Diceros bicornis minor: one gene and its partners. The protein of the gene in region 1 interacts with the protein of each later gene in a biochemical or structural test. Links are inferred from orthologs where the notes say so. Each region holds a gene or a part of one and is shown in the gene's direction. Other genes may lie near its edges.

What was found.
Region 2: the proteins of SERPINF2 (region 1) and plasminogen-like form a complex in vitro, tested with the Homo sapiens proteins (2 studies listed by BioGRID, with this or other methods). The link is inferred for Diceros bicornis minor from reciprocal best matches to the Homo sapiens genes SERPINF2 and PLG.
Region 3: of the proteins of SERPINF2 (region 1) and ELANE, one has a biochemical effect on the other in vitro, tested with the Homo sapiens proteins (2 studies listed by BioGRID). The link is inferred for Diceros bicornis minor from reciprocal best matches to the Homo sapiens genes SERPINF2 and ELANE.

The regions. Positions count from the first base shown.
Region 1 is NC_080757.1:16,026,082-16,033,698, reverse strand, and holds the start of SERPINF2 (alpha-2-antiplasmin), read left to right. Parts: upstream 1-4,596; 5' UTR 4,597-4,643; intron 4,644-5,839; 5' UTR 5,840-5,843; coding exon 5,844-5,906; intron 5,907-6,046; coding exon 6,047-6,085; intron 6,086-6,206; coding exon 6,207-6,269; intron 6,270-6,564; coding exon 6,565-6,766; intron 6,767-7,264; coding exon 7,265-7,408; intron 7,409-7,555; coding exon 7,556-7,617. Other genes in the region: WDR81 (WD repeat-containing protein 81), read left to right, coding at 1-52, 964-1,109, 1,365-1,544, 2,601-2,921.
Region 2 is NC_080778.1:9,495,961-9,503,936, forward strand, and holds the start of plasminogen-like, read left to right. Parts: upstream 1-4,962; 5' UTR 4,963-5,053; coding exon 5,054-5,102; intron 5,103-7,976. UniProt on the Homo sapiens protein: Plasmin dissolves the fibrin of blood clots and acts as a proteolytic factor in a variety of other processes including embryonic development, tissue remodeling, tumor invasion, and inflammation. In ovulation, weakens the walls of the Graafian follicle.
Region 3 is NW_026691553.1:441,970-449,094, forward strand, and holds ELANE (neutrophil elastase), read left to right. Parts: upstream 1-4,691; 5' UTR 4,692-4,700; coding exon 4,701-4,767; intron 4,768-5,139; coding exon 5,140-5,293; intron 5,294-5,414; coding exon 5,415-5,556; intron 5,557-6,058; coding exon 6,059-6,289; intron 6,290-6,435; coding exon 6,436-6,612; downstream 6,613-7,125. Other genes in the region: myeloblastin-like, read left to right, coding at 104-245, 755-985, 1,462-1,634, 1,825-1,905, 3,218-3,398, 4,329-4,652. UniProt on the Homo sapiens protein: Serine protease that modifies the functions of natural killer cells, monocytes and granulocytes. Inhibits C5a-dependent neutrophil enzyme release and chemotaxis. Promotes cleavage of GSDMB, thereby inhibiting pyroptosis. Promotes blood coagulation.

The DNA.
Region 1 (7,617 bases):
CAGTGTGTGGTGAGCTGTGACGGGGCTGTGCACATCTGGGACTCCTTCACAGGTGAGCTGGCCCAGGTGAGGCCTGTTTCTGTTGCTGCCATCTTGTACTCTGCCAGGCCTCTGGGAATGGGGCCCAAGGGTGGGATGGTTGGGGTGTAATGGTATGTGGTTGGGAGTGACCCAGTGAAGCCACACAGAGGAGCTGTTAGGACTCGGAATCCATTAGACCTGAGTTTGAATTGTCTCTGCTAGTTTACTTGCTGTGTGATGTTGAGCAAGTCACTTTGCTGCCAGAAGCATCAGTTTTCCCATCTGTAAAATGGGAATCAGAACAACTGATTTAGAAGATAATGCACATAGGGCCGGCCCCATGGCGTAGCAGTTAAGTGTGTGAGCTCCGCTGCTGGCAGCCCGGGTTCGGATCCTGGGCGTGCACCGACGCACTGCTTGTCAGGCCATGCTGTGGTGGCGTCCCACATAAAGTGGAGGAAGATCGGCACGGATGTTAGCTCAGGGCTAATCTTCCTCAGCAAAAAGATGAAGATTGGCATAGATGTTAGCTCAGGGCTGATCTTCCTCACAAAAAAAAAAAAAGAAGATAATGCACATAGAGGTTTGGCTTAATGTGTAGCATGTAGTACATGTTTGGTAAATAGTTGCTCAATTATTTTTCCGTGTCATTGTAGGGAGAAACAAGGTTAAAAGCGGGGAGGGCATGGAGTAGCATTGAGATAGACAGGGAGGCAGCTTTGGTCAGGGGATGCTATGTGAAGAGAGGAGGTTGCTTTGGGGATGGGAGCTTGGCCTGGCCATGGAAACAGGAAGGTGGGAGGGTCAAGAAACATCTTTGGCATTTTCTGAGCTCCTCTGGGATATGGGAGGCAGGTATGGGGTAGGTTGGAGGGATAGGAGGAGTCAGGGCTCTTCCATCAGCTGCTAGGACCTCAGACACACCGTGTCATTCCTTCCCAGGGAAGACCATTCGCACAGTGGAGCCATCAGACAGCCGGGTGCCCCTGACTGCCGTGGCTGTCATGCCTGCCCCCCACACCAGCATCACCATGGCCGGCTCTGACTCGACCCTGCGCTTTGTGGACTGCAGGAAGCCTGGCCTGCAGGTCAGGGGCGTCGGTTCCCTGAGCCCTAGTCAGGGTGCCTGGCAGGGAGGAGAGACCCTGAAGGCCAGGGCATAGTTTCTCTTTGCAGACGGATCACCCACAGCAGCAAATCTGGGGGTGTGGGACTCTGGCCTGTGATGTGGGGACAGAGGCTCAGGCTGTCAAGCTGTGTGGGCTTGCGGGGTGAGCAGGACCTTAGGGAGAAGCAGGTTGGAGTGGGTGGTGGTGCCTCATCTTGTCTCCCTCTGCCTGTAGCATGAGTTCCGCCTGGGTGGCGGGCTGAACCCTGGGCTTGTCCGCTCCCTGGCTGTTAGCCCCAGTGGCCGTAGCGTTGTGGCCGGCTTCTCCTCGGGCTTCATGGTGCTCCTGGACACCCGTACGGGCCTTGTTCTGCGTGGCTGGCCTGCCCACGAGGGGGACATCTTACAGATCAAGGTAACAGACCAGGTCCCGTTCCCTTCTAATCTCTGCTTAGGGTCCACCAGGACAGGCTCAAGCTGATGTCACTTACACCTGCCCAAGGACTGACGGGCAGGGAGAGTCAAGAGCCCGCTGCACTGTGGGGGGCCTCAGCAGGAGGCAGGCACAGGGGCGGGACCCAGGGGGCCGAGCTGACCCTGCTGTTCCCTGGAGATGTTCTAATGAGTAACCCTTGTCCATATTTGTCTTGCTTGGAGGATCAGGGGTCGGGCCCTGTCCGTGACCCAGTTCAGGTTAAATAAAGCTCAGCTGGGAGGCTGTTTACTGCCCCTAGACCACTGAGCAGAGTCCATGCCCACTGCTGGGCTGTCCTGGTGGGGGCAGGGGCAGACTGGGCGTGGGGCTCCTGCCCCCACCCCTGCCCCCTTCTCAATTACGGACCTCAGGGAACTGCTCAGGGAGGTACAGGAGGATAGGAACAGGGCTACTTGTGGGAGGGTTTTTCCAGGCAACTGGGACTCCCTCCTCATCCTAAGTTGAGGCCAGGGGATGTGCACTGCCACTGCTGGGGGCAAGCTGCCCCTGGCTCCCTCCAGGGCCCCCCAGGGGACCCTGGGCTCCAACTGTCCCTAAATGCTGACTTTCCAAGAAAGCATCAAGAGGGCTCTGGGGTCAGCCTGGGTGTTAATCCTGGCTCAGCCACTTACTGGCTCTGTGACCTTGGTATGATTACTTAACTTTTCTGAGCCTTAGTTTTTTTCTCCGTAAAATGAGAACAATGACAGCATCTGCCTCATAGAGTCATTATGAAGATGAAATGTGGTAATAGGGCATGCGTAATGCCATGTCTGGACATAGTCAGTGCTCAGATTACAGTGATAACTAGGTTAACGACACTGATATAGTCATATTAACTCACGTTAATGTAACGTGGGAAGGTGGCAGCCTGTCCTCCGCTCAGGATGCCCTGTCTTCCTGGGAGATATTGTGGGAAGAAATGGGAAGACACTGGGGTTTGGTGGGCACATGGGAGGGCACAGGCCCTGCTGAGGTTCTGCTCTCCCCGGGCAGGCGGTGGAGGGCAGCATCCTGGTCAGCTCTTCATCCGACCATTCCTTGACTGTCTGGAAGGAGCTGGAGCAGAAGCCCACACACCACTACAAGTCAGCCTCCGACCCTATCCATACCTTTGATCTGTATGGCAGCGAGGTGATCACCGGCACCGTGGCCAACAAGATCGGCGTCTGCTCCCTGCTTGAGCCGCCCTCCCAGGCCACCACGAAGCTCAGCTCTGAGAACTTCCGGGGCACGCTCACCAGCCTGGCCTTGCTGCCCACCAAACGCCACCTCCTGCTGGGCTCAGACAATGGGGTCATCCGCCTCCTGGCATAGGCTGAGGGTGGGGCTCGTCAGGCAGGGGTGGGCAGACATCCTCTAGGAGTCCATCCCATCAGCCTTGTTTGCCCAGCAGCTCCCTCCAGGCAAGCCTCAGACCCCATGCCCTGTGTACCCACATGGCCTGCAAGCTAGGGCTGGACAAGGGTCCAGGCTCTTGAACTCCTAGAGCCCCCAAGGCTGCCAGAGGATCTCCTTCATGGCTTGGGGAGATGCTGCTCCAAGCCAGTAGGAAGAAGAGGGAGAGCGTGGGAAAGCATCGCTGCCCTGTGTTCTCCCCACTCTGTCCTCGGGTCCACATGGGGACAGGGAAGCTCTGGGAAGGGTTAGGGAGACTGGCCCTGCCCAGCCAGTCTTCAGCCAAAGCCCCCCCTTGCTGGACTCTCTCTGCCCCTCTCCCACAAAGACAGGGATGCTGCCCCAGTCCAGGACACTGATGGTGCTTGGACTCCAGCCTCTAAGGAGGGCTGGCCGTGGTCTAGGAGTTAAGGGCCTGGGGCTGGGGTTTAAGTGTCCACCCAGTCAGACCCTGGCCAGTATGGGACCAGTAGGGGAAGAAAGAGGGCGGGACCAGGGGAGGGAAGATGGACTGGGCCAGCTGGTGCCTGCCCTCCCCTAACTACAGTGTTTGTGCCTTGAGCTGAGGAGGTAGCTCCTGGGCCCAGAACCCCTGGAGGGTGGAGTTCTAAGACCCTGAGAGAAGGGGCGAGAAGAATTATCTCTGCATCTCGCCCAGGGGACAGGAAGACCCAGGTGTCTCGGGTCCTCACATTCTGGAGCAGAGATGAGCTCTGAGGCTGGGCTCATGCTGCCTCCTCACTATTTGCAATAGATGTAAATATGACCAATAAATTCTTTGAAGGAGCCGTGGAACTGAGTGAGGCTTTTTTTTTGACAATGGTGTCAGAGTGGGGAAAAGTCGAGACCCCCACAGCTTCCAGGGCAGTGAGGAGTAGGGCAGGAGGTGGGGAGGCCACCTGATCATTGCTCTTCAGGGTACAGGGCTTCTGGTTCATGCAGCCCCAGACCAGTTTCCAGTAAGGAGGATGCTGAGAGAGGCTGTGTCCCTCAGCATCTCTCCTCTCCCACCCCTTGCCTTCCAGACCCAGGCTGAAGGCAGCCAGCCAGGATCCTGGGCATGTAATGGTTGGGATGGGCATCCTATCCTGGGTTCCCAGCAAAGGTTTTGCAGCTTCCCCTTCCCTCTCCTAGGGATGGGGTGGCAGTTGTAGGGAAAAGGAAAGGACATTGGAAATGGGAACCTGGATGTAATTCTGAGCCCAGCTCTGTATCCTTGGGCAGGTCACATAGCATCTCTGAGCCTGACTAAAGGGATAACTCCCCACCTTGTGGGGTTGCTGGAAGGCCCCTGTCCTTTCTGGATCTGTCCTCCAGATGAGGACAGCCTCCTCAACTGTCTCCTGAACCTCCTTTCTCCAGGCTCAGGTGGGACCCAGATCCATGGGGGCTCCAGGTGGCTGTCTCAGGATTAGATGCCCTGCTGGGAAAGGGGCTTCCAGCCCCAATATCAATGTTTAACCGGATGTGCAGGTCAATATTTACCAGAAGAGAAAGCAATCTGAACAGGGGTTGGCTGAGAGCAAAGGTCCCGGTGGGAGGGGAGGGCTCCACTGGGCTGGCTGGAGCCCGGGCAGAGAGAGGGGAGCACCCAAGTGGGGCCAGAGGGACATTGTGTGCAGCAGCGAGGAGCCTGCAGAGGTATGAGGGGAGGGGCGGGCGGTCTGTTCCTTGAGCAGGAGAGGAGGTAGGAGCTGCCCTCCTGGCTGAGGGTATGGGGGCTGAATTTATTCAGGAGGCCTGCTGATTCCCAGTTTCCTGAGGTGATGAGGAGCCAAAGTAGGGGATCTGGGGGAGAGTCTCTCTGGGACTTGAAAAACTGGAGGCCTTTTCTTGCCAAGAAGATTCAAAAGCCCAGGTTGGAGATCAGGGCCCTTTGCCTGTGTGATGGGAGTGGGGCCAGGGGTGATATAAGGATCCTCCTGAGGGACTAGCCCTGAGATGGGGGCGGGGTGGGGGTGTGTGTGAGACCTGCTCCAAGGCCAGACCAAGACCTGCCCATCTCCACCCGCCAGCCTGGCTTCCCGGAGCCGGCCTGGGGCAGAGTTGGGGCAAGGCCTGCATTTCCCGTAAGTCCAAAGGTGGTTCTGGCCAGAGTCATTCATTGGGCTGTGCTGCTGGTCAATGAGGCGGCTTTCCAGCACCCACCACCACCCTGCTGAGACCTCTGGGCCTCATAGTCCTGTCTACCCTTGTGGGCAAGACCAGACCAGCCAGAAAAGGTGGGCCGGCTGGACAGCAGGTTGGATAGGAGCTCTGGGGAGGGAGCCCTAGTACAGAGGAGGCTTCAGGGCCGGCTTCCCAGAAGAGGGACCTTGCGCTAGGCTGACGAGAGCTGTTACTGAGCGTCAAGCGTTGTGCTCAGGGCTCACCAAGACTGTCTTATTTCAGTCCTCACAATACACGTGGGAGGAGGTAAGGACTTTTGCCACCATTTTACAAGACACAGCGAAGCCCAGAGGTGTTAAGGGAGATGTCAAGGTCCTCTGGCAAGAGGCAGAGCCTGGATTCAAACCCAGGTCTGACTCACAATGCCAGGCCTTGAAGAATGAGGACATTTTTTGTTTTGATAATATTTTTCCCCTATGAACCAAAATATTCTCAGGGCATGAAATGTGAAAAACCAGGAAAACAAAGGGGGTTAAAAAACAAGTCGGAGGGACATCTGCCCCTCAGAGATGAGAAGCTTTGCTATGGTGTTTTAGGGCGGTGTGCTGTAGCTGGTGTTTTCCCCGCGGCGGTAGCGGCTCAGGACTCAGCCTGCCCGGGAACGCGTGGGTGGGATTCCACGCGGGTGTGGGGGCGAGGTGGGAACGGAGGCTTCCGGTCCACAACAGGAACATGGCGCTGCTCCGGGGACTCCTGGTGCTCTGCTTGTCCTGCCTGCAAGGCCCCTGCTCTGCGGTGAGCCTGGCTGAGGTCTGGGTGGGGCGGGGAGGGGTGGGGAGAGGCCAGCGGTCTGAAGGGCGCAGGGTGGGGGGTCGTCCGAGGGAAGATTTAGCTCTGAGGGGGTCCCCCTCTTCTCCTCATCCCTCTCTCAACAGTTCTTTCCTGTGAGCGCCATGGAGCCCCTGGGCCAGCAGGTACTGGGGAGTGAGGGGCGTGTGCCTGGGAGGAAGGCCCCGAGGGGCCTCGCCTGTGGCTTGTGCAGGGTGGGGGACCTCTGGGAAGGGTCGCTCTCCATCTGCTTCCTCCTTTCTTCAGCTAATCAGCGGGATGTCGCAGGAGAAGCTCTCCCCGATAATCTTCCTCAAGTTGCGCAACCAGGTACAACCAGGTGGGGCTGGGGAAGAGTGGGCGGGGCCCGAGGGAGGAGGGCCAATCAGCAGGGGCGAGGGAACAGGGGGCGTGGCCGTGAGGCTGAGGTCCGAAGGGGAGGGTGGGAGGGACCAGAGGAAGGGATCCAGTCCCCAGAATGCCCTTGCCCATGAGACTCTCCCTCTCCTGTCAGGACTGGGACCAGGCCCTGCTGCCCCCAGGCACAGGGGCTACGAAGGAAATCTTCAACACAGAACCTGGAGCTGACCCCTTGGCCCCACTGACCCCTGATCTGTCTCTGCAGGAGGCTGGTGGCCAGGTTGCCCTGAAGAAGGCCCCAGGAGACTGCAAGGCGGCCCCCACCCCAGAGCAGACCCGCAGGCTGGCCCAGGCCATGATGGCTTTCACCACAGACCTATTCTCCCTCGTTGCCCAAAGGTCCACCAGCCCCAACCTCATCCTGTCGCCTCTGAGTGTGGCCCTGGCACTGTCTCACCTGACACTGGGTACTGTGGCAGCATGTGTCCAGATCAGCAGAGCTGGGAGGCCAGTAGGAACTCACTACTACACCCTCCAGAGTTTACTAGTGGGTGGTTCCTCCATCAGGGTCACTTGGATGTTTGGTAAAAATGCAGATTCCTGGGCTCACCTCCAGTCCCTGTGAATCAGATTCTGAGGGATTGGGCCCAGGGATATGTTCCTGGTGATTTTTATGCGAGAGTTTGATAGCTACAATGTCTCCATTGGACTGGAGGGTCTCATTGTATGAAACTGAGGTCCAGAGAGAGAAGACAATTTCCGTGAGGTGAGGCCGCCCAGACGGTCAGCAGCAGAGGTGAAAGTAGGACTTGGGAGTCCTGTCGCTCAGACCAGTTCAGTGGATATGGGAGGAGAGTGTGTGGTCCTGCGGGCATGCTCACTGTGGGTATTCAAGAGGGACTGGAGTGGGCAGTGGGGGTGGGAAAGAACCCCAGCCTGGCCACAGCCAATGTGGTCCCTTCCAGGTGCTCAGAACCAAACGCTGCAGAGATTGCTGCAGGTGCTACATACAGACTCAGGGCCCTGCCTCCCCCACCTGCTGAGCCGCCTCAGCAGGGACCTGGGCCCTAGGGCATTCCAGTTGGCTGCCAGAATGTACCTGCAGAAAGGTAGGTGCTGGTGGTAGGGAGCTCCCTAGGTAGTGCCCTGGGGTCGACAGGGGTGAGGGAGGTGGGTTTGGCCTCAGGGAGCCAGTCAGATCGTTGGTGGCTGTGGAGCCTGCGCCCTGGGAATAGCTTGTGGCCCCTTCTGTGTAGGATTTCCCATCAAAGAGGACTTCCTGGAACAATCGGAGCAGCTCTTTGGCGCAAAGCCCATG
Region 2 (7,976 bases), on another chromosome or scaffold:
ATGCTTCCCCTTGCTTCTCATCCCTCCTACTTGTCTTCTAGGTCTCAACGCAGATGTCACTTGCTCCGGGAAGCGTGTCCTCGCTCCTCCACACTGAGTGTCCCTCCGTGTGCTCCACGGCCAACGGGGCCTCAGCCGCTCTAAGCACTCGCCACTCCGCGCTCCAGTCTTACTTACAGACCGGCATTGCCCCCACCCCCACTAGGTGGAAAACCCCCTGAGGGTGGGGATAAAGTCTTAGTTCCTCTTATCGGCCCAGGCCTCAGCACCGTGTTAAACACGCTGTACACCCTGGAACCACATCTCCTGGAGGAGAGCTCACAGCAATGACGATACCCCCGCGCCCCCGCCCCAAGCCTCGCGCTTCACTCGGGGACCTTCGGATCCCTCCGCTGGACTGTGGGGATGGTGGGCTGGATAGGAGAGGAGGGAGGGGTCACTACTTGGGGTCCTGTGGCGATGAGGCGCCTCTGTCCCGCTGGTGTTTTACCTGTGTGCAGAGATGGCAGGTCTCCCCCGAGCACCTGGGAGGCCGCAGCAGGCGCAGACGCCTGCAGCCTCTGGATTCCGCCAGCTGCTACTGCGCAGGCGGCGTCCATCAGGCCTTACTGACTGTCCGGCCTGGGGGAGGGGTGGAGGCGGAGGGGGGGGGCCTGAGTCAAAGCCTGAGTTCCACTCCCCGATTTAGAAGTTCTATAACTTTAGATTCTCCCTGGACAAGTTTCTGTACTTTGAAAGTTCTGTAAATATATTTAAATATATGCATAAACATATACGTTAAATATATACGTATATATCCAAATATAGACACACATATCCAAATATACACATACACACACATATATACATGTATATACAAATATATACGTATATAGACATATGTATTTTTACTTTTTATTTTGAAATAATTATAAACACACAAGAAGTTACAAAAATAGTACCGAGAAGTCCAGTGTACCCATCACCCAGCCACCCAGCCTCCCCCAAAGGGAACATCTGACATAACTGTAGTTCATTATCAATACCAGGAAGTTGCCATTGGTGCAGTAATGAGCTAGCCCACAGACGTTGCTCAGATTTCACCAGTTTTTACCTGTACTCATTATTTTTTTCTTAAAAGATTTTAGTGTTTTCTACATGTCTCTCCGAAATACTGTGAAAAAATTTTTTGTCTTAATTAACTTTGAGAGTAATGAATTTTCGAGATGGAAAGGATGATTTGGTTTCTCTGTTTTTCCGCAGTGAATCTGGACCTCGGAGCAGAAAGTACGCTTGCCTGGGTCTCTGGGGAGTCCTCGTGCTGCCTCAGGGCAGGCTGGTAAACTATCCAGGAATTACTACCTTCTCTGTTACTGTTTTTCTCGAGCATCTTACGAGTCTGACGAGGAAATATCCAATGAAGGCTCTTTTTTTTTTTCCAAAACTGAATAAACATCTCAATTTCCGCAAGCACAAGCCAGTGAAGAAAATACAGCTCGCTGACCACTGACTTAGGTCTCACCTGGAAAGTGCTCTGGGCGGGTTACATTTTAACCCCTGTGCTAACTGAGCAGCCTGCTATCTCCTCACGGGAGCTCGGGCCGATAACGGTCTCATTCCACAGCCCCAGAGACTGAGGAACAAAGGCTAACAGACCTGAGAAAAAGGTCAAATGAAGACATGAAAGGCACCTTCAGATTAATGAGAGCGTGTGTCCTGGGTGATACGCCCTGATAAACTAACAGAGTGAAAGCAATCTGTAAACTGACATCAAGGGCAAAGATAAACGTGCTAAGAACCCTTGCAACAATGAAGGCATACTTCGTTTGAACTCTTAATAGATTATTTTTTCCGCTGTTTTCCTTTTGAAATGACATGGTCTTATTGGGGATATTCAGAGATGCTCCTGGTAAAGAAATGAGCTGTCTTAGAATGACCGTTCCAGGGTGGCAGAGCCTGGGTGGGGAGGAGCTCTGCTGGGGCTGGAGGAAGGTGGAACGTCGGTGCAGAAAGGTGACAGATGTAAATGTCAGATCTGCAAGACAGGGTCCACGCGGTATGAAAGCATGTCACCTGGGAAATTGTGACCTGGCCACAGCTTCCACTTCAGGCAAGGTGGGTGCAGGCGAGACTGAAGGGGGCACTCTACCTCTCTCGCCTGGTGAGGTTGAACTTTCCTGGTGTTTGTGGCTTTCCTGGTAAAGTGCTTGCGAGGAATTCACCATTTTAATGCCTAGAGGGGAGGAACTAGCTAATTCTTCCCTTCCTAAAGGAACCTGAGTGGATCTTGGTTGCAGGCGCCCTGCTGGGCAGAGCTAAGAAATTCGATCCCTCTTCCATCATATTTTGACGTCCTTGTCTCTGGCTACAATGCAGCAGAAGCCTCCAGTAATCTTAGATAAAAAATTTCCTGGAGTTCTTTTAGGTGGAGGCTGGGGGATGGAGGAGACTGTAATTTGTAACTTTTTAATTTTTATTTATTTTACCTTTTATATAGTCCTAAATGAATCTAACACACAGTAGGTGGTCAGTAAATACTTAATGAATTGGACTCAATAAAGATGCACATCTCAGAATTTATTCAACCTGCTAATAGTAGGCAAAGATGATCTCTCTTTATCTCCTTCCTGAGTTTCTGCCGTTCTTTGAAGTAGAAAAAGACTTATTTTGAATGAATTGTCTTTACAGCCTTGAGCAAAACCACTATCCGATGTCCCTCTAAGAGTGTTGTTGTGGGATTCCTATGCGTGATCTAGAATAGTCCATTGCTTTATGCCTACCCTGTACCTATGAAGCTAAACCATGTAGTGCTGTGACGCAATGGAAGTCTCTGTGCACCCCCCTGTCTGCATGTGAACAATACATTCCTCTTTGCTCTTCTCTTTACACACTACAGTATCTGGTGGCACAAGAGCAAAACCCTGCTTCGTGTTTATCTGTGCTCTCATGATGCTGATATATTATGAACGTGGTGAAGAATGTATAGTCAGAAGGCCAGAGGAGGGCAACCTGATTTAGAAAATAACATTGGTAGAATCAAAAGCATTCTAGAAGATTCCAGGAGAAAAGGGAGCAAAAGGCATACCACCACCACCCAAATAAGAAAAAAAATAAAACAGGAAAAAGAAAATTATGTGGTAATAGAATTTCTGATAATATTGTTCCTGAAATGCCTTATCTGCGAGGCAGTGCTAAACTATTTTAAATGGAAATAAATGCAGACTGGAAACATTATATATTAGTAGAGTCTGTTTTTTCCCCAAAGTACTTTCTCAAATACACCAACATAATCCCCCTAAGAGACATTTCAGATATTTTAAGAAAAAATGTCTGCCCAATGCTGATTTCTCAACTTGCCTGCACCTTGTGTCCCCTTTAATACACTCGGCCACTAGGTGAGAGGGAGAGGAGACAGGAAGACAGAGTTTGAGAGAAGAAAGCTAAGATCAAGTAGAAAATTAGGAAATATAATTAGGTCATCCCTGCCCCTCACAGTAGCACCAACTTCTTGTTCTCCAGCACGTTTTGTTCTTGAGAATTCTACACAGTACAGAACATTGCACCACATAAGGACGTTTCGGTCAACGATGGACTGCATATATGATGGTGGTCCCATAAGATTAGTACCATAGAGCCTAGGTGTGTAACAGGCTGTATCATCTAGGTTGGTGTAAGTACTCTCTGTGATGTTCACACAATGACAAAATCGCCTAGGGATGCATTTCTCTGAACATATCCCCATCATTAAGTGACACATGACTGTCCTTCCATCCCAGGGAATTCTGCAGGAGGTACCACCGAAAACGATATGGTGCCCTCCTTTATACTTTGCTAGTTTATAGGAAGGAGTTCCATAGCTGGAGAGAGAAGAATTTCTCGTTCTTATTTCACATTTAGATAGAGTCAATTTAGCTATTCCTAAATATTTTTGAACACTGAAATAGCGGTTTTAAAGCATTTACTACCTGGTCATACTAGCCTTAAGCCAGGGAAATGTACAGACTCAACAATTAAGATCAAGACAGACTCTTTAAACTTAATTTTACCACTCTTGCTTTATTTCACGAGGATGACAATCTAATGCACTGTGAATTCATTTGGGGAAAAGATCGATAATTTTGTAATGTAATTTATAATCACAGAAAACACGTGAGTCCACCAGGCATAAAGAAATTTTGATAATAATAAAATATTTTCACTTATGTTGTAATTTCTACACTAGTAGGATGTGGGGATGTTAACAACAATGCCTTAGCTTATATGTGTTATTTCACCCCTTGTTAGCTAAGTAACCTTGGAAAGATAAACTTGCTTAGCTTGAGTCGCCTCATCTAAAATGGGGACGATAATAATATTGCTTGTTTTAAAGGTTGGATGTAACTATGCCTATGCACCACTTAGCAGAGTGTCTGGCAAAGGAAAGTTCTCAGCAAATGAGAGCTATTGTGATTTTTTTTTTTACCCAAAAGAAAGAGAATGAGAGGCCAGCCCCATGGCATAGTGGTTAAGTTCAGCGGGTTCTGCTTTGGCAGCCCAGGTTCACTGGTTCAGATCCTGGGCACAGACATATGCCACTCATCAGCCACGATGTGGCAGCGAACCACATACAAAGTAGAGAAAATTGGCACAGATGTTAGCTCAGGGCTAATCTTCCTCAAGCAAAAAAAACGAGGAAGATTGGCAACAGATGTTAGCTCAAGGCTAATCATCCTAAGCAAAAAAAAAAAAAAAAAGAGAATGAAAGAAGAGAGAAGAAAACAAGACTAAGAATGATGATGGACTGGGAGTAAGGTGAGGACTAAAGAGAGAAGAAGGCAGCACGGGGCCGCCGAGGGGGCAGGGCCCGCTTTCACCACTTCCCAGCATCTATTGCAAATTCTGCTCTCAAACATTTTGTAAGATCCTCCAGTCAAGGTAATGTTTGAACCCTCAGTGCTCAGTGGCAATAGGCTTCTAAGAGAATAATTAACTATATGTGATTATCTTGTTTGTGGATGCATTTCCTTTCATGTAAGTCAATAACATCTTGGGACTGGGACACGCTGTTTTCTGGACACCGCTGGCCAGTTCCAAAATGGACCATAAGGAAGTGGTTCTTCTACTGCTTTTATTTCTGAAATCAGGTAAGACTTCAAGTTGTTTTTTTTTTTTAATCAGTATTTTTTTCCTAGCAACGTATAAAAATAGAGACATGATGGCTTTATGGGCAACTAGTTTAATTTAACTTTTGATTCATGAGATTCCCAGTTTGAAATCTAAATATAAGATTGAGGAATTCAAGAAATAAATTTAGTTTCCCTGTGAACACTGGAGATGAATGGGCCGAGAAAATAATGAATGGCTTTTTAAATCAAAAAGATGAAGCCCAAGGGTTGGTTATTTTAGTTGAAAAAATAGCTCATATAGTTAACAATCCGAAAAGTGGTTAGTCTCTTTACCTGGTTCTCAGTTGGATTAATTTAGATCATTTTTGTTAAGGTGTCATATGCTCCTCACGTTCAGATGCAAACAATGAAATCTCTCCTTGACTACATTCTCTGACTGGTCTGGAGTTGTATTCACCAGTTCCCTGTGGGCTCTGGCTTAAGTAAGACCTTCCATACATATAGGTTTGCTTTGTATGCCTGGAGAAACCACAGGCATCGATTGGCCAAGTGATGTATGCAAAAATAATTCAACAAATATTCACTTCGTGCTTTAGGTAGGCCAGGCAAATTTTTAAAAGTACATACACACATGTGTGTGTCTTTTAATAACCCAAGTTCATTTAGCCAGTGCAACAGGTAGGGTAGAACATCCCTATTTTATAGACAAGGAAATCCATACTTACGAAAATCGTGTTGTTTTCCTATTGACCAAACTCCCAAATCCAGGAAGTGAAGAAACCAGGATTTAAACCAGGGTTTTCCAAGAAGGAATCTGGTGCTCTTCTCTTTTTTTGAACTTTGTTTAAACCTTCTTTAAAATATTCTAAGCATGTCCTTATAGTTCTTTTTTTTGACCGCTTTATTGACATATAATTTATATACAATGCAGTTCACCCATTTACAGCACACAATTCAGTGGTTTTCAGTATATTCAGTTATGCAACCATCACCACAATACATTTTAGAACATTTTCATTACCCTAAAAAGAAACTCCACACCCCTTAGCTGTCACCTCCAGCTCCCACTCACTCCCCCATCCCTGCCCAGCCCCTGGCAATCACTAATCTACATTCCATCTCTGATTTGCCTATTTTGAACATTTCATATAAATGGAATCATGCATTATGCTAGTAGTTCTTCATATAAACAATGTATAGATACTTGCAATTCAATTTATAAATTGCCAGATAAAATTTTACAGTTGTACTTTAAATTGGAGTCAAATACATTTGAATTTAGTGGAGCCATTCAAAGAAATATCAAAGAAAACACAGAGCAGAAGATTGTACCAAGAGATTTCTGTGGGAATGGTTGTGTATGGGGGTGCAAGGATGCATAATTCTGTTTTAGCCTGTGGAGAACAGGACCCGGAACACTATGAGCTGATTCAGTGGGTCACACCTGAGAGTTAGAACAGATTTCTCTGCAACAAGATTAACATATGTCTTCACCAACCTATGGGGGAAAAAAGTCTTTCATAAGCTTTTTGAAGGGAAGGCATTTACTCTTTCTTTCCATGGAAATAGTTCTTGTTTCCAGTGCACTGAAATGACCAGGGAAAGGAAAAACATCCTTTTAGAGCTGTTCTCAGTGGGAAATGGATAAGCAGTTTGCATTTCACCAACAATTGAGTCTTTTCTTTCAAACACACAGGCTTGCATACATATACACACACCACAGTGTTAAAAAAAAAAAAAAAACTCATTATTAATAAAATACACTTGCTTTGGTATATATATCTCTACATTTGGCCTAGAATATAAAAATACTTTTCTTACTAAAAAGATTTGTTTAATATTTCTTGGTCAACAAATAAACTGTATTATACCCCGTTGCCATATCAGCCCTGGAGTTGAATAAAAGAAATTTGGGGGGAAATTTTTTCAAAAGAAAAAGAAAAAATTATTCTCTCTTGGGATATTTCTTTGGGCTATCTGCTCCAAAGGTGGGTCTCAGCAGCTATATGCTATGAAACATAACAACATAACATCATTAAAGGTAACTTAATTAAAGGGTGATATAAATGGAAATTTTCTTATTTTCATACCATTGATACCCCAGCTTGCTCCACTTTCTAAGAACTCTTCAAAAAGTTTAATTTAACTCTTTATGGGATATACTTTATAGAGTTTTTGTGTTTGTTTTTTAAATCATATCCTGATCCATAGAATTTCCCAAAGCCCAACTCTTCTTGGAAATGAGAGCTCAAATTGGGAGAAAATGCGGAATGAAGACATGGTTATGGGTCTGACATATTGATTTCTCCGTAATCTTTGGATACATTTATCAAGTGCTTTGGGTGTATTCAATCTCAATCGCATCAGCCAACTTCTGTTCAATATCCACTCTTCCACTTTGGAGTATCTTAAATTGAGGAAGAATGAGGGAGTCAAGTTAGGGAGAGGGTGGACTCAGGAAGATGGCTTTGTCCTAATCTGCTAGAGGACCTCTAGCAGCATATATGTTTTCAGGTGGTCAAGGATGGCCTTTCTGAGAAGGAGGATCTGACCCTTCATGATCCTTCCCACTGGATAATTTTCATCAGTATCCAAACATGCTCTAGAATGTCTCATCTGTGAAAAAAAAATTGTGTGACCACATATGCCTTCCTGAAAATGCTCCTTTCACAACCAGACTTTTAAAAAGACTTATCTCTTCATGCTGTTCCCACTGCCTCTCCTAGTCACTCTTCAACCTGCTCAGTCTGGCTTTGGTCTCCACCACTCCCCTCAAAGTTCATTAGGCCATGTTGCCTAATCCTATTTAGACCAACTTTAGGAAACTTTACTGTCTTCATTTTGTTAACCTCTTTTGGCCTCCCATCCTGGGAAAATCACTAGTGTTCCCTA
Region 3 (7,125 bases), on another chromosome or scaffold:
GGGTAGCGGTGGGGGGTCACCGAGGGGCTGCACCCAGGACGCCCAGGGGGGCGGGGGGACCGGGGGGACGTGGGGACCGGTGGTCAGCACCGCCACCCCTCAGGAACCCCGTCCTGGTGAGCGTGGTGCTCGGGGCCCACAACCTGCAGACCGAGGAGTCCACGCAGCAGAAGTTCAGCATCGCCCGCCTGTTCGAGAACAACTACGACCCGGAGGAGAAGCTGAATGACGTGCTGCTCCTGCAGGTGGGCGCCGGGCCCGGCTCGTTCGTGCTCCAGCGAGCACTTATTGAGCGCCTACTGTATACCAGGCCCCAGGCGGGTGCCGGGACACGGCCTGGTATACAGTTGGCCTGGTGAGGGGAGAGCCGTTCAAACCACCCCTGACCCCGGCCTCTGCCCTGGGGGTGCCCCCGCCCCGACACCCTCACCCCAGCCTCACCCTCTCTGGAGGCCTCCGCTCGCCCTGCTTGGAACGACAGCTCCGGGGACCTCCCACCCGAAAGGGCGGCTCCCGAGGGCAGAGGTGGGGTCCCCAGGGCTTAGCCCAGGAACCGAGCCCTGGCTCGGTTTGGAGGGTCAATCGGGGCAGGCTTCCCGGAGGAGGTGGCCCTGAGGATGAGCGGGAGGGGGCCGGGCAGAGGGAACAGCACAGGCAGAGGCCTGGAAGAGGCACTGTAGAGTGGACGCGGGAGGGGGTGGCTGTGGGGCCTGGGGACGGGGTCTCACCTCCCCCCGCCACTCCTCTGCCCCAGCTGGACCGCCCGGCCACCCTCAATGCCCAGGTGGCGGTAGCCCCGCTGCCCGAGCAGAACCAGGAGCTGCCCCAGGGCACCCAGTGCCTGGCCATGGGCTGGGGCCGCCTGGGCACGCAGGAGCCACTGCCCAGGGTCCTGCAGGAGCTCAATGTCACCGTGGTCACCTTCCTGTGCCGGCCACAGAACGTGTGCACCTTCGTGCCCCGGCGGAGCGCCGGCATCTGCTTTGTACGTACCGCCCACTCCCGGGCCAGCACCTCGGGGGACATCCGGGGGGACTTCCCGGAGGAGGGGGCTGCCCTGGAGCGCAGGGCAAAGGAGGCGGGCGGATCCGAATCCCACCCAGGGCAGCGGCCGGCCATGCCTTGGTCTCTCCATCCGGGAGGCGGGCTCACCAACGAGGGGCTCAGGTGCGTGGAGCAGCCTCAGCTCCCGCAGGCGCAGAGGGGGCGCAAACATCATAGCCGGCAGCCTCCAGGGGTCCGTCTCAGAAATCATCGGGAATCTGGACCCAGAATCCCGGGGTCTGGGTATACAGCAGGAGGCCAATAGATGCCCGCTCTCCTCCGGAGTGGCCTCATCTCTCTCCTGCCCATGCCTCTTAAAGAAAATTCCACGCTGGAGACATTTTACCCCTAAATGGTGCAGGGCGGCCCCCGGGCCCGCGTCCCTGTGACTGACGGGCCGGTCCCCGCCCTTCCCAGGGGGACTCGGGCGGCCCGCTGATCTGCGACGGCGTCCTCCAGGCCGTGGACTCCTTCGTGATCCAGGCCTGCGCCACCAGCCGGTACCCCGACTTCTTCGCCCGAGTCTCGCTCTACGTGGACTGGATCCGCTCCGTGCTCAGCAGCGTAGGGGGTGAAGGGGCCCCCGAGCCGTACCCTTCCACGGCCCGCCTGCTGAGGCCAGACGCCGAGCCCTGACGGGGGGCTCATCTGGGGGGTCCCCAGAACGCTGCTTCCTCCAGACGCCCCCCCCCTCCCATGGGGCTCTCGGGAGCCAGGCCCCCCCAGTGACCTCAATAAAAGTTGGAACTCCCCGTCCGCCTCCGTCTGTCCTTCCCGCAGGGCATGGGGAGCGGCCGAGGGTCCCCGGCTCCGAGTCCCCGAGCCCCAGGCTCAGGATGGGGGTGGAGCGGAGGCCCGGAGGTGGGGGGCCCAGGCCACAGTGGGGACGCCCACAGACGTGGGTTCTAGTCCAGCTGCCAGTGTGGCTCTGGGCAGGTTGCTGCCCACCTCTGCGCCTCGGTTTCCTCATCTGGAAGATGGAGTCACCCCAGACATGTGCCAAAATGTCGGGGGAGCCCCAGCCTGGCCCTTGGGGCTGGGGGGTGTCATGTGGCTCTGGTCTCCCAGCTTGGGGGCCACTTGAGGACCAGGCCATCGTCACATGGGGTGTCCAGGCCTCTGGGGCTCCTGGTCCAGTCACGGGCAGGCTGAAGGGCCATGAGGGAGGCTTCCTGGAGGAGGAGGCAACACCTGAGCTGACTGTCAGTGTGTGACTAGAACACAAAGAGAAGGGCCGCCAGGCAGGGCATGGCGAGTGCAAAGGCCCTGTGTTGGACGAGCTGGGGGGTGTCAGGAACAGCTCGGCGTGTGGTGTTGCTGGAATGGAGAGAGGCGAGGGGATAGGGGAGGAGAGCAGGTCAGGGAGGTGGTGGGGCCAGAGCACATGGGGCCACGGAGAGGCACTGGGGTGGGCCTGGAGGAGAGAGAAGAGGTAGAGGTCACTGGTCAGCCATGGAGAGGGCGAGCGGCCACAGGGATGAGGCAATCGAGGCTCAGAGAGAGGGGCCGACCCGCTCCCGGGGGCACACTGGAGTGGGAAGGCAGCTCATTCCTTATTGATTTACTCTGCCGCCACCTGGTGGCAGCGTACAAATGGGAGCGAGGGCGAGTCCTCCCAGACCTGCCCCGTTGTCCACTGGTCCACACCTCGACTGACCACCCCCGGGGAGGAGCTGCACCTGCTTTGGAGCAGCAGTGCCAGGAGCAGACATGGGACATGGCCGCCGATCCCGGGAAATGTAGCTGATGAGGATCAGGGGCTGCTGAGAGTCCTCACCTCTCCCAGGGGCCCGGGGCCGGGACGAGGTTTCTGTAAAGAGCCCAGAGGGACCTCCCGGTGCCCGGGGTTGGGGTCTGCGGGAGGGAACGTCAAGAGAGCCTGACAACGGGAACAGAGAGACCCAGACACCCAGCCCCGGGCGTCTCCTGTGGGTTCACGTGTGTGAACGGTGGTCAGAGGAACGTTCTGCGCCCCAACGATCAGACCCGGGGGGAGTTGAGGATCGGGGTCCCAGGGGCACCCGGTTGACTTGCCGAGGTCAGCGGGGGCTGCGGACACGTGGGGAGGACAAACCCACAGGAAGAATCAAAGGACGTTTCGGGGGACACGACTGGGGAGGCTCAGGGAGCGAGGGGCCCCCAAGGGCTCAGCATCCCCCTGGCCCATCCCCAGAGCCCTGATCACGAGTCAGAACTCTCCAGGGGTCCGGGTCCCCCAGGCAATCCCCGACCCCCGCTCTCCTGGGGGGTTAATGGTTGACACGCCCCAGCGCGGCGCCGGATCATCTAAGGACTTAACTCACCTCCGTTCACCGAATCCCCGAGACAATCCTGAGACGGAGCCGATTGTCACAGTGGGAAACCGAGGCACGGGTGGGGGGTTACGTCAGGGGCCTGAAAGGAGGCAGGGAGCGATCGGCCAGCCAGGATATGAACCCAGAGTCGACTCGCTTAACAGTCATGACACGGGGGAGCGTGGTATACAGGTGGTGCTCAGTAAATGCAGCTTTGGCTACATAAGGTGTCCTTTCTAAACCACATCCCCCAAAGACAGGGCCTCCTCCATTCCCCCACCCTCCCAACTAGAAACAGGGCTGTGTATACAGCAGGTGCTGACTAAGTGCTCAAAGGTAGCTTGAACGTGACCGGGTGGGGAGGTTAGCAGGGCTGGTCGATGTGTGTCTGACCAGGGGAGGGATGGGGAGGGGACACCGAGCGCCTGCCGTGTGCCCGGTCGTCCTCGCTGGAGAGATGTGGGGGGTCGTGCCCGTGGCCACACAAGGCGGGGACTCCAGCCCGGGCCGGGCTCCCGGCGCCCCTCCCTCCTGTTCCCGCAGAGGATCCGTTGGTTCCCTTCCGTGACCCTCGCTTCCAGCCGGGGGGACGTTGCTTCTTGCAACACCCAGTTCTTCCAGGCAGAAGCTCCCAGACGTGGGCGGAGACCCACGGTCCGGCCTCCAGGCCCAGACATCCTTTCTCCAGCACGTCCCCCCGACCCGGGTGGGAAGGGGTCCAGAGAGGCTGGTGGGGGGAGCCGATTGGGAGGGGTCCTTTCCCGGAACCTCCGCTGGGGACCCGAGACTGACCGGGCCCCCGGGGGGGAGTGAGCTCCCCGTCGCGAGCAGCAACCAAAGAGAGGCTGGACGGCCGGACCCCGAGAGGGAGAGGCCGTGGTGGGGAGCAGGGGCCACGTCCAGCTGTGAACTGTGGGGCCTGGGCTCAGAACCCTCTGCCCCCGCGTCACCCACTCATGGGCCCGCCATGCCTCCGTTTCCCCATCTCAGAGGGCCCAGCAGCCCCCGCCACCCCTGTGGAACGCCATCGTTGTGGTTATGAGGGTGCCCCGGGGAAACCGAGGCGGGGGGCCCAGCCGACGTCCCTGGGGCACTGACCCTGCAGATAAGCGTACCCCGCCTGGTATTTGGGACGGACTTGCACTAAAACCGGCGAATCCCACGTTCAGACGGAATGGCGCGTCCGAGATTGATCCGGACCCCCGGCCCCGGCTCACCTCCTCCCATGCTTCCTGCTGTCACCCCCTCGTCTCCACGTCCCCGGGGGGGACAGGAAGTGGGGCAACGGCAACGGCCTCGGCGTGGGGGCCATAAGAGGGGCCGGCGGGCACGGGGGGCAGAGACGCGGAGCCTCGCCCGACCATGACTGGCAGCCGCACACCCTCCAGCCCTGTACTCGCCCCCATCCTGCTGGCTGTGCTGCTGGGCGGTGAGTGGGGCGGCGTGTCCGTCTGTCTGTCCCTGGACGTCTCTTCCTGCCTCTCATGGGCCCCTCGTCCTCGTGGGGAGGTGACGGCTGGGATGAGGTGACATGTTTCCAGAGGAAGAGACTGAGGTTCTGAGTGGTGGGAGTCCAGAGCTGGGGTTTGAACCGGGGGGTCCCTGGGCGCCCTCTGGGGACTCCAAAGCCACGTTAAGCCCCAATCTAGCCGCACCCCGGCTGGGGGACCATGGCAGCCCCCTCTCTGCGTCTCTGTGCCTCAGTTTCCCCATCTGGGCAGTGAGCACAAAGAGCCTGGACCCCTTGGGGTCCTGGTGTGAGCCGGGTGGCTGACCGGCCCTGCCCCCCCGTGTGCCCCAGGCCCTGCACTGGCCTTGGAGATCGTGGGTGGCCAGCCGGCCCGGCCCCATGCGTGGCCCTTCATGGTGTCCCTGCAGCGGGGAAGCCACTTCTGCGGGGCCACCCTGATCGCCCGTGACTTCGTCCTGTCGGCCGCGCACTGCGTGAATGGCCGGTGAGTCCCCCGTATCCGCCCCGGCCCTCAGTGTCCCCGTCTGTCCTCGCTCCTCGAGGGGCGGGCTGACCCCCGACCCCGGGGCCGCCCGAGTCACCCCCTGTCCCCCCGTTGCCGGCAGCAACTTCCGGTCGGTGCAGGTGGTGCTGGGGGCCCACAACCTGCGGCGGCGCGAGCGCACCCGCCAGACATTCGGCGTCCGGAGGATCTTCGAGAACGGCTTCGACCCCACGACGCTGCAGAACGACATCGTGGTTCTCCAGGTGGGGGCCAGGGGCCGGGGGGTGGACAGGGGGACCCCAGCTGTCACAGGCACGTCGTCTCTCTGTGCCTCGGTCTCCCCTCTGTGACTCGGGGAGACAAACCCCGCCTGGCCGGGCCTCGGAGAGATTGTGAGAGACGACATCGGGAGCTCTGAGCAATAGTCAATCAACAAACGCCGTTATTCGTGCCCTGTCACAAGTCCCACATTCGGGCCAGCGGGAGACTCAAGGCAGAAACCCTCCCATCCCACTCTTCTGATTCTTCTCTGAGAATGTTCTAGAACGAGGGTTTTATTGGCCTCAGTGTTGCCCATGGTTTGTTTTATTGAGCACCTACTGTTTATAGCACCATTATTAAGCACCTCCTGTTTACAGCACTCAAGTCATGTCCGGGGCGCCCCGGGCCACTGTGGTTGCTGCCAATTACAGACAGGGAAACTGAGGCCGGGGAGGGGAGGGCCGTCGCCCGCGCCCCGTGTGACACTCACGTGCTCTGTCCCAGCTCGACGGGTTGGCCACCATCAATGCCAACGTGCAGGTGGCCCAGCTGCCCGCCCAGGGGCGCAGCCCCAGGAACGGGACGCAGTGCCTGGCCATGGGCTGGGGCCGGCTGGGCACCAATGGGCGGCTGCCCAGCATCCTGCAGCAGCTCAACGTGACGGTGGTGACCTCCCTGTGCCAACGCTCCAACGTGTGCACGCTGGTGCCGCGGCGCCGGGCCGGCATCTGCTTCGTGAGTGCCCCCCGCGTCCCCCACCCCGAGCCCCGCCCGGCCCCAGCAACCCGGCCAGCGGCCGGACCCCGGGAGGGACTGCCCGACCCCGAGCGGGGCGGGGCCCGGGCAGCGCAGCCTCCCACCCCGTCTGTCGGGCTCCGCAGGGCGACTCTGGCGGGCCGCTGGTCTGCGACGGGCTGGTCCAGGGCATCGACTCCTTCATCCGCGGAGGCTGCGGCTCTGGCTTCTACCCCGACGCCTTCGCCCCCGTCGCGCAGTTCGCCAGCTGGATCAACTCCATCCTCCGCCGCCACGGGGACCCTCTGAGCGGGGCCCGCTAGGAAGGGCGGCCCGGGTGCCCCTGCCTCGCCTGCCCCAGCCAGGCCCTTCCCACGCCGCGTCCCCGGGCACCTCGCCCAATAAAAACCCTCTCCCTTTTGTAGAACGTGTCTGGCTGTGTGTCGGTTGTGCCAGCGGGTGTGGAAAGTCGTCAGGGCACCTCTGGGGTATGCTGCCACCAGGTGGCGGCAAATGTGGGGCATTGACGTGAGAAGTCCCTTCCCCACCTCCTTCCACGAAAGGATTCGGGTTACCATTTCTGGATTCCCCCCCATAAAACCCACTTTCATGGGATCACACGAGTGTCGCCGGTGGTGATGACAAAGCACTGTGGCGGTGTTCGTTGAGTGCTCACGAGGTACGGGAATGTTCTGAGTCTTGGGGGGACCTCACTCCTCCAGCCCTCGAGGGGGGTCCTCTTGGAGCCCCCGCCTCACAGACAAGGGAGTGGGGGCGCAGAGAGGTGTGAAGCCGGGCCCGGGAGCCTGAGTTTGACGCCCAGCTCTGTGACTTTG